Linked DNA regions of Macaca mulatta. The protein of the gene in region 2 purifies or fractionates together with the protein of the main gene of each other region. This does not show direct contact. Links are inferred from orthologs where the notes say so. Each region holds a gene or a part of one and is shown on either strand. Other genes may lie near its edges.

Evidence for each region.
Region 1: the proteins of PYHIN1 (region 2) and DCAF1 purify together in Homo sapiens (affinity purification with mass spectrometry; 3 studies listed by BioGRID and IntAct, counting the BioPlex papers as one, with this or other methods). This does not show direct contact. The link is inferred for Macaca mulatta from reciprocal best matches to the Homo sapiens genes PYHIN1 and DCAF1.

What each region holds. Positions count from the first base shown.
Region 1 is NC_133407.1:114,891,547-114,899,094, forward strand, and holds part of DCAF1 (DDB1- and CUL4-associated factor 1), read right to left. Parts: intron 7,181-7,548; coding exon 7,056-7,180; intron 5,762-7,055; coding exon 4,498-5,761; intron 3,648-4,497; coding exon 3,449-3,647; intron 2,972-3,448; coding exon 2,889-2,971; intron 1,618-2,888; coding exon 1,533-1,617; intron 1-1,532. UniProt on the Homo sapiens protein: Acts both as a substrate recognition component of E3 ubiquitin-protein ligase complexes and as an atypical serine/threonine-protein kinase, playing key roles in various processes such as cell cycle, telomerase regulation and histone modification.
Region 2 is NC_133406.1:107,980,894-107,988,934, forward strand, and holds the start of PYHIN1 (pyrin and HIN domain-containing protein 1), read right to left. Parts: upstream 4,204-8,041; 5' UTR 3,993-4,203; intron 3,383-3,992; exon of another isoform or gene 3,292-3,382; 5' UTR 3,153-3,291; intron 1-3,152. UniProt on the Homo sapiens protein: Major mediator of the tumor suppressor activity of IFN in breast cancer cells. Promotes ubiquitination and subsequent degradation of MDM2, which leads to p53/TP53 stabilization.

The DNA.
Region 1 (7,548 bases), on a different chromosome or scaffold from region 2:
GCCTATAATGCCAACACTTTGGGACACCAAGGAAAGTGGATCACTTGAGCCCAGGAGTTCGAGACCAGCGTGGGCAACGTTGGGGAGATGCCGTCTCTACAAAAGTACAAAAAAATTAGCCAGATGTGATGGTGCTTGCCTGTAGTCCCAGCTACTCAGGAGGCTGAGGTAAGAGGATTGCTTGAGTCCAGGCAGTCAAGGCTGTGGTGAGCTGTGATCATGCCACTGCACTGCAGCCTGGGTGATAGAACAAGACCCCATCTCAAAAATAAATAAATAAATACTATCAGTATGTGGACAAGTCCCATTTTATATTTCCCAACCCACACCTCTCTCCTGAACTCCCAATTTTTCGTTGTTTTTGTTTTCAGACACAGGGTCTCACTTGTTTACTCAGGCTGGAGTACAGTGACACAATCGTAGCTCACAGCAGCCTCCAACTCGTGGGCTCAAGCAACCCTCCTGCCTCAGCTTCCTGAGTAGCTGGGACCACAGGTCCCAAGCCCACCAAGCCCAGCCGATTTTGTTTATTTTTTGTAGAGATGGGGGGAGTCTCTCTCTGTTGCCCAGACTGGTCTCGAACTCCTGGCCTCCCACCTCAGCCTCCCAAAGTGCTGAGATTAGTCTGGCCAACTCCCAACTTTTGTATTCAATCTCCATTCTCTACTTGAATGTCTAACAGAATCTCAAATTTCATGTGTCCAAAATCCCAGGGCCAAGGCCCTCCATTTCTCATAGCCTCTACCATGCCTACCCAGGCCCAAACCCGCAGCTCCTCTCATGTGTCAAGTGGTACAACTCCCTCTAACCTGGAAGGCTGCTCTTGCTTCTCTCACAAAAACCAGAGTCATACTTTAGGAACTTTACATCCACTCATGTATCCTCTACTCACCCTCCAGTGTGTTCATCTCACTCAAAAGAAACGCTAAAGGTCCTAACTATCACCTACAAGATGCCACCAGATATGGGCCCCTCACTGACCTCAGCTCTCCTCTCACCTCCCAAGCAAGGGCTTTCCCTTGCCATTTCCTGTGCCTCACGCTGTTCTTCCAGGTATCTTCCTGAACCTCGTGTTTCCTTCAAGGCTCTGCTTAAACATTACCCCATCAGTGATGCTGTCTACCCTAGATAACAGAGAAGTCCCCCCACACCACCACCGATTTCCTACCTCTTACCTTGCTTTCATTTTCTCTGAAACACTTACCACCTAAATTCACCATATATTTATTTGCTTCTTTATTGTCTCCCCAAAGAGGGTCCCTAAAGGCAGGGACTTCATTTCTAATGTAAAACTTACTAAGAATTCAAAAATATCTGTGGCGCTAATGACATCTTTCTCAATGTCACGTTGAGCCCTTACACATTTTTCCCATACAGCTCAGAACTATATTATCACACTTTCAGATTCTAACTGGAAGGAATATCATTAATTTCTAGTTGCCCAAAGGACTTAGGTCCTCACATTCTATCAAGATTTCAGTATGAACAAACGGGCATAATCAGCTTGAAAACAGTGGTTCTTAAGTACTTACGTGGGCAATGTCTCCTTTTGTGCCGATGACCCGATCCTGGGAGTGCTTACTGAACTCAACATAGTGATCTTCTGTGAAGGAATGCCTGTGGACAAACAGGAGCACTGAAGTGACAGATCTTCAGGACATATTCCTGCAACCAACTGAAACATGGGTGACCCCCAGCCTCTTGCACAATCACACTCACCTAAAGATCCTGGACTCCCAAAGAGGAAACAATCATACACTTAGATTACAAAGAAAATTTCTTCTATCAGCTTGTCCAAGCAGATACAAAATAATGAATGGGAATTCCTTAGAGAAATGACAAACAGGGCATACGTGCCTTTGAAACACGCAGCAAAGGGGCCAGCCACGGTAGCTCACTCCTATAATCCCAGCACTTTGGGAGGCTGAGGCAGGTGGACTGCCTGAGCTCAGGAGTTCGAGACCACCCTGGGCAACATGTCAAAACCCTACCTCTACCAAAATTGCAAATTAGCCAGGCATGGCGGCACATGCCTGTGGTCCCAGCTAATCAGCAGGCTGAGGTGGGAGGATCACTTGAGCCTGGGAGGCAGAGGATGAAGTAGGTCATGCTTGTGCCACTGCACTCCAACCTAAGTGACAGAGTGAGACCCTGTCGAAAGAAGGAAAGAAAAGAAAAAGCCGGGCACAGTGGCTCATGCCTGTAATCCCAGCACTTTGGGAGGCCGAGGTGGGCAGATCAACGAGGTCAGGAAATCGAGACCATCCTGGCTAGCATAGTGAAACGCTGTCTCTACTAAAAATACAAAAAATTAGCCAGGCGTGGTGGCTGGCGCCTGTAGTCCCAGCTGCTCAGGAGGCTAAGGCAGGAGAATGATGTGAACCCAGGAGGCGGAGCTTGCAGTGAGCTGAGATCAGGCCACTGCACTCCAGCCTGGGTGACAGAGTGAGACTCCGTCTCACAAAAAAAAAAGGAAAAAAAGAAAAGGAAAGGAGACGAGAGGAGAGAGAAAAGGAGAGGAGAGGAGGAAAGAGAGGAGGGGAGAGGAGGGGAGAGGAGAGGAGGGGAGGGGAGGGGAGGGGAGGGGAGGGGAGGAGAGGAGAGGAGACACAGCAAAGACGGCAATGTCCTATGTGAACACGGGAAAATACATAGATTCTGGGTCAGGGTCTGCTGCATAATGAGAATGTATATACCTCATAAAAATATCTAGGAATTAAGAAAGATAAAGTCTTATTAAACATGAGTCTTAGATGAGGAAGAGAGAAGTTAACAATAACTGACAGCATCCTCTTTCCCCAAAAGCTTCGTCTAAAAACCAAATGAAAGGGGGTCTAAACAAACTAGGTAAATAAAACACAGACTAGGTTCCAAAAGCAGATACATACTTCATATCAAATACTGATTTCATTCCCCAAAGTGCAGACAAAGGCTGGCTCCAAGTAGCAGATGTCAGCAGCAAGGACCCATCCTAAAAGAAGGCACAAGGTGGGTAACCGTGCATTTACATACATGCAGATGTCACTACCTGCCATTAGCATTTTTAAATATATGCATAAAAATGTTGTTGAATTAAAGAGAAAATTTTATAACCCACAGAAACCAAGAAATGGTCAGAAGCCACTATGATTTGAATACATATACCTATAGTGTCCTAGAAAATAACTAAACTTAGGAGAGTATTAAATCCTACTGAACTAGCCACAAAAATAGAACAGATAAAAGGGAGGTGGGAAAAATGAGACGATGTCAAAGATAGTTCCTTTCTTCCTAATAACTTTGCCATATTCCTCAGTCTCCATCTGAAATATGAGTTAACCTCAACCAGACTTTCCAGTTGAGAACTCATTTAAAAGAGAGAGCTCAATAAAGGGTAAGCCTCCTTTACTCTAGTTCACTAATTCATCTTGGAAGAATGACTGACAGCATCCTAGGAAGGAACCCTTACCCTGGAAGGTTCAAGATGTGTGATGGCTGAGTTGTGACAGTTATAGCTGGCCTCCTCCTGTCCACTAAACACATTATAGAGCTTCAGCTGCCCTGTGCAGGTGCCAAGCATCAGGAACCGCTCCCGAGCTGAGAATGCACAGCAGGTGAAGCCACTCTCATCTTCATTGGCTTCCCGGAACACTGAAATAGGACGGAATCTAAGCACAAAAAAAAGGAGAGAATCAGAGGCAAAGAATGTGCAGGGACTCAGAAAAAGCAAACTGCTAGGACAGAAGAAAAAGCACAGAACATTAATGTTTCAAATGGGTTCTTCCAAAATCACAGTGACCTTCAGTGCTTTTTATTTTAAATAAGAAAAATATTTCCACTTACAAATTTAAATAACAAAAATTCCCATGTTTAGGCCAGACGCAATGGCTCACAACTGTAATCCTAGCACAGGTGGGGGGATCAGTTGAGGTCAGGAATTCAAGACCAGCCTGGTCAAAATGGTAAAACCCCATCTCTACTAAAAATGCAAAAATTAGCTAGATGTGGTGGCGCCTGCCTGTAATCCCAGCTACTTAGGAGGCTGAGGCAGGAGAATCACTTGAACCTGGGAGGCAGAGGTTGCAATGAGCCAAGATTGCACCACTGTACTCCAGCCTAGGCGACAGAGACACTCCATCTCAAACAAACAAAAAAAAAAATTCCCATGTTTAAAACCTGTGATCCCATAACCTTTATGTAAGATTTGTCAAGAATCAGAACAGGAAGCCACTTGCAACAGCACAAGTTTGGGAGCCTCCTTATGGACAGTAATGAGGGGGTGTGGGTTCTAGAAAACATACTAGTTGAGATGAGAACACAAAGGATTATATCAATATACTGCCAACAATCACACAAGGAGCCCATGGTTGACAAAAGGTGATACAATTACATTGTTCAAGTATTACACAAAGTGACAATCAGTGGTATTTCAAGCCAACTATGCTGATACTGCCCAATTTGATTTAAATAAAAGAATCGTTCCAATTCCCAGAGAGTAAGAAGGGGCCTTCTTCTTACCTGCTAAAGATAAGGTGCCTATCAAAGCATCCGCCATCCACCCCTCCATACTTTGGAAATGATGCCCTGCGGTTTAGCCTTGAGGTAAAGTTTATTGGCGCTTGCCGCCTCTGTTTTGGCTCAGGACATTGGTGAGGAGTAAAGAGGGAGAAAGGTGGGCAAGTGGCAACTGGATTCTTGCAGCGAGCATGTTGTTCTCTAAGATACTCTGTGATTATACTGTCCAGCGTAGGTGGGGAAGGAAGATGTCTGTCCAGCTGCTTTTTTATGGCTGGGCTTTGGCTGTAGGCGCCATGGTCCGACTTCTGCCGCAACACTCTGATTTTCCTGCCATTACAGGGTGACGGCCTCTCTCTGATAAAACTGATCCTACCAATCAAAGGGGAGTTGCCAGCATAAGATGGGCCGGGCAGAGCTAGTGGACCCTGGGGAGGCCGTGGCTGAGGATGGGCAGTGGGGGCAGAAGGGGCAGAGGCACCCACGGCAGCATGGCTGCCCAGTCGAGTTGCAATGCCATTAGCGATACGAGGGGTTCGGGGTAGAGAGACAGGAGAAGCAGCAGCAGTGACTGGGGTAAAGGCAGAAGAATGGGAGGCAGCAGTCATGGGCAGGTCGGCCTCTTTTGTCAGCACGGTTGCTGTTTCTCCAAGCCCTTTAGAAATAAGATGGTTTCGTATCAACAAAAGCAGCTCTTTCTCAGGGAAGGAGATCCTTGACTGGGCAACAACATCTGCTTTCTGCAGTCGTGCTAGGGAAACATCAGTGCCAATGAGAAGTGGTTTTCCTGACACCCGTTCAATGAGTTCAGCAGCATACTTGCAGAACTTGACATGGTCACTGCGCTTGTCCTGCAGCACAGGCTCCTTCATCAGCTGCTGGATCTGGCAGCTGCTGAAAAGGGGCAGTTTACTGATGATCTGCCGGACAGTGCTACTGCGAGACAGGCCCACCAGGGCCTTGCAGGCCAGTGCCCGGATCTGGTCTGCATCTGTGATGGGCATCTTAATGGACAGTAAGGACAGGAGCACCTTGATGCCGTTGTTGGACTGAACCACATTCCACATCTTGGCCAGGGTGTGCTCACTGCTTTTGGGGTTCTGAGGCAGCTTTCTCCGAGGAGTACCAGAGATAAATTTACCAATACTGGATATGCGGTTATCTGGGCCACACACACAATTGATGATAATCTGAAGTGCTGACTTCTGAATTTCAGCATCATGGATGAAGAACTCACCCTCAGCCACTCCCAAAATAATGCTGATACCTAATGGGAAAAAAAAAATTCTGTATTATTCATCATAAAACTAATGACCAATTTCAATAGTTGTTCCAGAGTCAAAATTTGGTGTTCCACTCACTTTGTTTTACTTTAAAAAACTACATTATTTTTGTAAAAACTGCAAGGAATTGTTTGTATAAAGTACAATCAGTTCTACTACAATGTATTTTTATGATCTCATATGCAGTTATTAAATAGGGAAATTATGTCATAATTATGGAAAAGTCACCAAGGTTCGTGTGTAATTTTTTCTGGTTTTATTATTTTTTTGAGGCAGAGTCTTGCTCTGTCACTCAAGCTGGAGTGCAGCGGCACGATCTCGGCTCACTGCAACCTCCGCCTCCCAGTTCAAGTGATTCTCCTGCCTCAGCCTCCTGAAGAGCTGGGATTACAGGCGCCTGCCACCACGCCCAGCTAATTTTTATATTTTTAGTAGAGATGGGGTTTCACCATGTTGGCCAGGCTGGTCTGGAACTCCTGACCTCAGGTTATCCACCCGCCTCAGCCTCCCAAAGTGCTGGGATTACAGGTGTGAGCCACTGCGCTCGGCCTTTTCTGATTTATTAATTTTAATACATTAAAACCTTAGGAATGGAGAAAGCCCTCAGTTGGGCTGCTACTGTGGAAGCAGAACCCTTTCTACTTTATTTTAAGAAAATTAAAAACAAGTGCCTGTGTCTTAGTCCTATCCTGCATCTTGTCCTGTCACACAACTTCCCATGCTCACCCCAGCAGTGCCCTGATCACCCCTGCTCTTAATAATGTATATTATCAAAGTGTATTTTCCTTTTTTTATATATGTATGATGGTTTCTACCCATTTTGAGCTACCTGCCAATTACTAACTCAGGTTACAAAATTGCTCACTTTGTTTTTTTTTCCCCTTTAACTCCTGGAAAGCTGTGATGCTTAAGTTTTTTACTATCTGCCTCAACCTATTTTTCCCATGAACTTTTAGTGCAAGACTCTGCAGAGTGTGAGCTTTTCAGGAAAGCTATAATATACCATTATAGCAGAAATGCCAGAAAACCTGAGTTTACTAGCATGACCCCCTTAAATCAAACTATCTGGTACTACGTTTGTATTTTTGTTTTCTTTTTTTTTTTAATTAGTTTCTGATCTGCTGAATGGTATTCCTTATAAAGGACAGACAAGGAGCCCCCCTCTACTACTTTTGTTCTGAAATCCAAAATTAGGTCAGGTAGGTAACCACAACCAGAGTGGCAAAGAAAAAACAAACCCAGACCAAGAAACAACAAAAATGGCAAAATATAACCTACCTACAGTAGAGACTGTAGATCCAGCCTCATCCAACACGTCCACTGATTCTGCCAACTGGAGCTGGATTTTAGGGACCACAGTAAGAATAGCCAGGACATCCAAAGCAAAGCGCACAGTGTCATTCCTGGACAGTAAGAAGAATTAGTCAAAGGGAAATTAGAATATAGCCACAAGAACCAAGAGAGACAGAGATAGAGAGACAGAAACAGACACACGCACACAGAGAGACTATAAATCAGAACCGCTACCAGTGTGGCTCTATCTCGAGCTGTCACAACAAGAGAGGATTTTATAGTTACAATGACATTACTTCCAAAAAATACAGCAATAAAATTTTTACCTATCAAACTTCTACAATAAAAAACACAGAATAATCCTGAATCCTTTCATTCTAGCGAAAATATATAGACACACACACTCTCAAACTTTTGGTGAGAGTAGAAATTAGCACAATCTTTCCAGAAAGTAATCTGGAGGCCAGGCTCGGTGGCT
Region 2 (8,041 bases):
CAAGAATTCAAGACCAGCCTGGCCATCATGGTGAATCCCTGTCTCTATTAAAAGTACAAAAGTTAGCCAGGCATGGTGGTGGGTGCCTGTAATCCAAGCCACTTGGAAGGCTGAGGCAACAGAATCACCCGAACCTGGGAGGTGGAGTCTGCAGTGAGCAGAGATCATGCCACTGCACTCCAGCCTGAGTGACAAAAGCAAAACTCCATCTCAATAAAAACAAATACCAAAACAAATATTTTAATTATAGAAAGCATGTATTTGTGTACCTCTTATGTAATTAAGATATTTAAATTCCTGGGGCTGTTAATTGCTTTCTTCTTGAGAGAACATGAGTGTCCTCAGATTGAAAAGCATAGAATGAAGGAAAAAATCTATACAAAGACATATAGTGAAACTGAAGCATATAAAAAACAAATACATACTCCATACGCCTCTGAGAATGAAGAATATATCACCTGCAAAGATCCAAAAATTAGATTGAAACTGATTCTCAACAACAAATCTACTTGAAACAAGAGAATGGAATCATTTTTATATAATGCTGGTCCAAAATCCCATATAAATTGCTAAACAAAAAGTTTAGAAATGGGAAGTTTTGATTTGTTTTGTGAGTATGACAACACAATTAACTTGCAAAATGAAACCAGATGTGAGATTACAGGAGGCTATGTATGATTTTTATTTATTCCACTTAAACACAAATATTCATATATTTTGATGCTGAAATATTAGTGCTTTTGTTTTTGCAGTAATGACACTGATAACATTGGGGTTTCTAGAAAAATGTGCATTAAATAATCTTTTAAACCTCCAAGTTCTGATTTTCAAAACATATCGAGCCTCCCAGGTACGAAAGAAATGCTCTCATCTTGTCTTGAAGGAAAAAATAATTTTTAAAACTAGAATTTCAATCTAAACAAAATGATATTTAAACAAAAGGTCCCCGAAAACTATTCTCTGAACCTCAAGGCCTTAGTAGTTTTTCCAGACAAAGATGCACACAGAAACATTTTTGGAAGAACTTTTCAATAGAAAATTAAAAAAAAATTTTTAAAAAGCTGCAGGCCAAAAGACGAGTAAGAATGAAAAACGAACTTGATTATGTATGCCTATGTCTTAAAAAGAAAGCCCTGATCAAAGAAAAGAGAAACAGAAAGTATACCAACATGGTGGAGGGAGGGAAGAAAAAGAATGTGACAGTTTACTAATGTAATTGTCTTAGAGGGTGAGATGGAAATGTAAGTTTAAAAAAAAAGGCAAGTAGGAGAATATAGAAGAGTTATAAATTGAAGTGAAGATAGCAGAAACAGGCCAAAATATGTTAATTATTAGCCTATACATAAAGAGCTTAACTAATTAAATGAAAATTTTTATCAAATTTGATTTAAAATTTCTGTATGTATGTTGTCAGTGAAAGATCACTGAAAAGTGAAAAAGAAATTTAAGTTATCGTGCAAAGAGAAACTAGAAGAAAGCCAGCTTATCTATGTTAGAATCATTTTTAAAAAGATCTTAAGACAAAGAGTATTATCAGATACCACATGGTAAAAGGGTGAATTCCTGGGAAGATACAATAATTTAAATTATAGATTTATCTAATAATAATAAATGTATATTATTTTTCATTATTGTATAGTCTTTCATGATAATATATTGATATATATTTATCTTCATATACACACATATGTACACACATTGCCACAAATATATATATTTATATGTGTATGTTTATGTTTAGAAACGTATGCATGATCACATACCACACGTAATATACATTATATATATGCATATGAGCATATCTATATATTATATATATAAATTTGAGAGAAGTACAGGAAAATACCGTCTTATAATAGGAGTTTTTATATCTTCCAATACTAAATGAAAAAAGTAAAAAAATAACATTTTTACAAATTTGAGCAACATAATTGATAGCAGTATTTATCTAACATACATAAATTCTGAAATCAACATTTAAAATCTCATATTCTAGTCAAGTACACTGAAATACTGCACGAGGCTATACAGAAAGACTTCGAAAAATTCTAAACTTTGCAATATAAATCTATTTCAAATTGACTTCCCTGCCTCTCCCCTATACATTGCCACTAGAAAAATAAAAAATCATTAACTTTCAGGAGGGCAGGAAGTAATCTTAAAATGACTGAAAAACTGCCTTTTACACCTGGTGTAGAACGATGCTTATATAAAAGTTAAACATACTTATGAAAATATTGACACAAATTATTTGAATAATTGTGTTTGCAAAATGGATAAATTTTCTACTGTGTTTTCATTTGTAGAATATTACTTACAAAACGTTCTCACATACGTTTGTGTGTGAGAATATGTTTTGTAAAATTGAGATAATACCATAAAACACAGCTCTACATCTAGATGTCTTTTTTACTTAATATTATTTCCTGATACTTTGTGCACCACATTATCTTGTCTTATTTTATCTTCTACTTTCATTTTAGGTTCAGGGAGTACATGTGCAGGCTTGTTAAATGAGTAAACTGTGTGTCGCCGAGGCTTGTTGTACAAAGATCCCATCACCAAGGTAGTGAGCATAGTACCGGATAGATAGCCTTCTAATACACATACTGCTCCCACCTTTCCCTCTCAAGTAGTCCCCAGTGTCTAATGTCCCCATCTTGTGTCCATATGGATTCAATGTTTAGCTTCCACTTGTGAGAATATGCAGTATTTGGTATTCCTGTGTTAGTTCACTTAAGATAATATTCTCCAGCTATATCCATGTTGTGCATATACAGTGTGGAATACTATGCAACCATAAAAAAGAATGAAATCATTTTCTTGTCTTTTGCCTAGACCCCTGAGGCCACCAAGCTTTCTAACCTCAGAGAATATATACTCAGAGAATTTGTTTTAAAATCTGCAATGATCAAAATGCATATTCCTTCATTTGTGCCCCAGTTGTAGAATAAAGGATATCTACTATCTCTGAAGTAAGTAAAGAATTGGAAGTAGTAACTGCAGTTTTCACTTTTCTGAATATAGTTGATACCAGCTCTACTCCCTTCACCCCACTGCTCTGAAGAGCCAATATTAATTTTTCCCTTGTGATTTTGTGGATTTCAAGGAAACATCTAGATCTTTTCTACAAAAATACCCACAGTACTCACCTTACTGGAAATTTCTTCAACAGTAGTCCAGATCTTGAGATCTTCAGAAATGTAGGAAATGAGGATTGTTTTGAGTAGGAAAATCAATCAGTAAAGCTCTCAGAAACTGAAATACCAGATGTTATAATCTCCTGAAATGCTAAGAAAATGAAGTATTTTCAAAGACAGTAAGGGAAAATGGCCGTCCTTAGAGTCGCTTCACTTGACTAGTACTGGCTTCCTCACACTCTGCTTTGCCCTAGGGAGAGAGGAGTTGTGAAACAATGTGCAGACTCCTCCCACCTCCCACCAGTGTTTTTTGCTTTCCATCCTGTTAGAGAAAATGAACAGTTTCTTTCCTGTAGGTATCTTATCAAAGTAAAATTTATATCAAAGTTATATTTAAAATTTTTTTTTTCTTACAAATGTTGATATCTGAATGGAGTTCCAACCTTAAAACTTTCTTAGCCAGCAGATTTACATGTGGGTCATTAGGGACCTCTATTCCGATGAATGATTGTCAAATATAAGAGGAAGCAAGGTGGCTTCTTCTCCCTCCTTTCCTGTGCACAGAGTGGCAGTTGCAGGAGGAGATCTTGGTAGGAGCATCTATTGCTACCAGTACTTTACTGCATCTCCCACATGGGAGAATGTCTGCTATGAAATGGCAATTGGTTTAAATACTACCTGAAGCATTCACCCAGTTATTAATAGTTGACAAACCTAGGGCTTTCCATATCAGAAAGTTATTACCAATATATAAATCCTTTCTCAAATATATATGAAGGAGTTTAACACTAGCTGTCCTCTTGACTATGACTAGGTTACTTAACCTCAATGATTAGATTCATGACTACTCACGTTTTCTTCATTATTCATGGAAAAACACAAGTGGATAGTGGGCTTGCAACATGACAACATCGAAGCCTTGAAAATCCTGGAAAATGCACTGAACTTCTGGTAGGGTGAGAGTCCTGTTAAACCATTTTCTCAGCAGTATTTTTTCTGTTAAGGGCAGTGGGTGTCCTTCAGAGTACTGTAGCCCCAAGATGTCAAATAAATGACACCAACTGGCAGATGATGTTGTGTTAACCCAGCAGCAGATCTGCAAGCAGGATGTGGCTGTGAGTGGAAAGTGGGGCCCCAAATATAGCTGTAGGGGAGAAAACATATATTTTTTAAATTTCCCTTTTTAGGTTCTTAGCTGACACTCTCCTGAAAACGCCAAATTAACGAGAAAAACAAGCAGTTTATTAATGTGTGCTCTACCTATCATAAGGGATAGGCCTCAGTTCAAAAGTATTTCTCTCTCCAGGCTGTGGCTTAGAAACCTTGTTTAAATAGTGTTTCAATAAAGAGCCATAAATCCTTTACAGTGAAAAGCAAAGGAGAAAGCAGTCCCAGTCATTTAAAGGTGGAAAAATGTGGGATGTTCCCAGATTCCTCAGGTTTCTGGTGGTGCCTTCTCTGGGCTGAAAAGCAAGTGCTTTCTCCAGTAAATAAGGATTTATGTCCTGCCATCAGGCAAATAGTGCCTGAGGCAGCATATTCCCCTGCATTTTCTGTGTGTTTAACTTAATAGTCCTAAGTATTTTGAGAAGTATTTTTGGTTTCCTTCACAAATAATGCAAATGATCTGAGGCCATCTTGGAGCAGAAGAAAGCTGATCATCTTAGTACAAACTGGGGTCACGGAGAGGATAGTTGAAGTCTGGATTTGGAAACATATGATAACTTTATCAAAGCAAAAGTAAGTTAAGAAAAAGCAAGGAGGATCTGGAAGGGTGGCCATAAAAATACCTTTGAGTGTTCATGGTTTTATAGGTTTACGTGCTGTTAATGTGGAGACACTGAGTTGGTTTTAAGATAATAGGTAGAGAAGGATATTAGGAAGGTCAGGTTACCCCAATTCAAAGGTCAGAGAGTAGAGGAAACTTGGTAGAAATTATCGTGTTTCAGGACATTTTTCTCTCCCCTTTGTGGTAATAATTTCATGCAGAGTAATGCCTTTGGTTAGGACTCCAGCATACAACACACAAATTACTGTCACCAAAGACAATTCAGAACATTGCTCCGTAATCCATACTGTGCAGATAAAATTGTAATAGATGAAGCAAAGAAATGCTTTAAAAATGTGCATTTGTACTGATTCTGAAGCAGTGGGCAATAATTTGCTATTTGTGCCATCACACAGAAAGCACATTAATAGAACATACAAGAGATCCTGATAAGGGAGAAAAAGTCTGGATGAACCTGCATGACTTTATCATCTGAAGTACTAATTCCCATGCTCATTCAAAGTCCTCAGGAAAAGTTCCCACCAGATTAATATGCTAACCAAGATGTTAGTAAATTACTGCCTATGGGACAATACTAACACACCATCCACTTTTGTAAGTAAAATTTTATTGAAACACAGCTGTGATTATTCACTTATGCATTGTCAATGTCTACTTCATGGTGCAATGAAGAGTTGACAAGCAACAGAGTACATCTGGCTGCAGAGTGTAAAGATTTTGCTGCATGGCTTATTACAGAAAATGTTTGTCAGTCTGTACCCAGTCATCAGTCTAGGAGACAGCAGAAAGCCTCTAAAGAGAAAAGCAAAAGTAAGTAGAAGAGCAATGTTAAATCAAGGTTAGCCTAAAGCTGGCTTCTTACATATTCTAAGTTCAGCCTAAAGGTTTTTCATGCAGCGCGAATGATGGCCTAAATGGAAGTGTAAATGGACTGTAGTATACTCTTGGGTCAATCACCAAGTTCTGGCCAATCAAATGTGGCCCACTTGTTCAAACCGCATTCAAATAAGGCAAACTCCGAGCTATAAGCAATCCAGCTCTCTATCTCATGTCCATTTTCTGTATCTCACTTTTCTTTTTCTCTTCATAAATCTTTCACTATGTGGCTGTGCTGGAGTCTCTGAGCCTACTCTGGCTTGGGAGGCTGCCTGAATAACAAATCGTTCGTTGCTCAATTAAACTCTTTTAAATTTAATTCAGCTGAAGCTTTTCTCTTAACAGCAATCACACCAACAAACCACATTTGGGACTTTTAAAGTCCATTGTAAACCCAAGGATAAAGGCTTGTGAAAATTTTTGTGATCTCAGAGAGGAAAATGGAAATGCAGAGTGTTAAAGCCTTTCTCTATCCCTAAGAGTCAGAACAAAACCCATTTGTATGGGAGCCTCCGTTAGCAAGATTGCTTTATGCATTCATGACCATCGGCCACCTGAAACAGGTGCCTTCTCCTTTTGTCTCTCAAGTAAATAGTTTTCTGTTTCTCAGGGAAGAGGGAAGGGTGATTGAGTTTTAAATGTTGAATCAATCTTACATCCCCGAGATAAAACACTTTTAATGATGCATTATAATTTATCATATTGATAAGTATATTGGTAAGTATAATTTTTCAATATTTCAAAAGTGTTTTTACATTTATTTTCATGTGAGAATTGGTTTTTGTTTTAGTTTCTGTGTAATATCTTTAATTGGGTGTGACAGCAAACTGGCATTTCTAAAACAGATTGTATAGACATGGTAAACTTTTATCCTCAAATGTCTGATAGAATTCATAAAGTGTCTATTCCTAAAACTTTCACTATGGAAAGATTTTTGTTACAACTTCTCTTTCTCTAATAGATATAAAAATATTTAGTTGTTTTATTTCCTTACAAGACAGTTTTGGTAAGTTGTGTTTCATGGGAATTTTTTCTGTAACAAATTTGTGTTTTACAGGAATTACACAAGTAAGTAAACAAACTTATTTGCATAATATTGTTCATAATATTATTTTATTACCATTTTAATATCTGCAGTGTTATCCCTTTACTTTCCTGATACTGGTCATTTATATTATCCTCCACTATTTTTCTTGCTTATTCCTGGTAGACTGACTCTCTGAGGAGGATGCTCAGGGAAGTTCAAAGTCAAGAGGAGTGACAAAAAGGACAGTAAAGGCAAGAGGAGTGACAAAAAGGACAGTAAAGGATTCTGAAGTGTTTGGAACCTACATCTAGGACAAAAGGTAAATAACATTTTAGCACCTAGCCAGACTAACAAAAAATCTCATACTAAAGGTCTATTTATTTCAGTTCCTATTACCTGATCATATATATCTTCCTTTTGACAACAACAACAACAACAAAAAGAAAAAGCCAGGTATGCTAAAGACAAGGAAAAATAGAGTCTGAAGAGTCAAAAGAAGCATTAGAAGCAGACTCAGATATGACTGTGATGTGGAAATTTGCTGACAGGGAATCTAAAGTTACTGTGATTAATGTATTAAGAGCTCTGATGGAAAAAGTAGACTGCATGCAATAACAGATGAGTAAGATAAGCAGAGAGAAGAAAACACTAAGAGACAAATCAAACAAAAATGTATGAAGTGAAATAATCGCAATAGAAATAGAAAATAATCAATAGGCCAGACACAATCTAGAAAAGAATGTTACCTTGAAGATAGATCAATAGAAATTTCCCAAACTAAATGCAAAGGAAAAAAGTATTAAGCCCTCCAGCCCTCAGAATATCTAATAACTGTGGTGGGATTGAAAAGCCAGAAGGAAAGAAAGAAGGAAGCATAAAAAGTACTGAACTGGTCTCTTTGTCTGGCATGACACCTGAGGTTCTTGGTCTCATGGCCACAGAGATCAAGGATGCAGACACACACAAAGGGTGAGGTTTAGAGCTGAATTTTAACAGGCAAAAGAAAGAGAATAGTTCTCTGCTACAGAGAAGCATCCTGGAAAAATGGGTTGCAGATCTGCTGTGAAATGCAGAGATTTTTATAGATGAGATAGGGGAGATGGTGTCTGACCTACATAGGTTGTGTAAAACTGGTGAGGACCAGCTGTGCCATCTGCATAGGGCCTGAATCTCTGGCTGCCCTTACTCCAGTCTTTTATTATGCAGGTG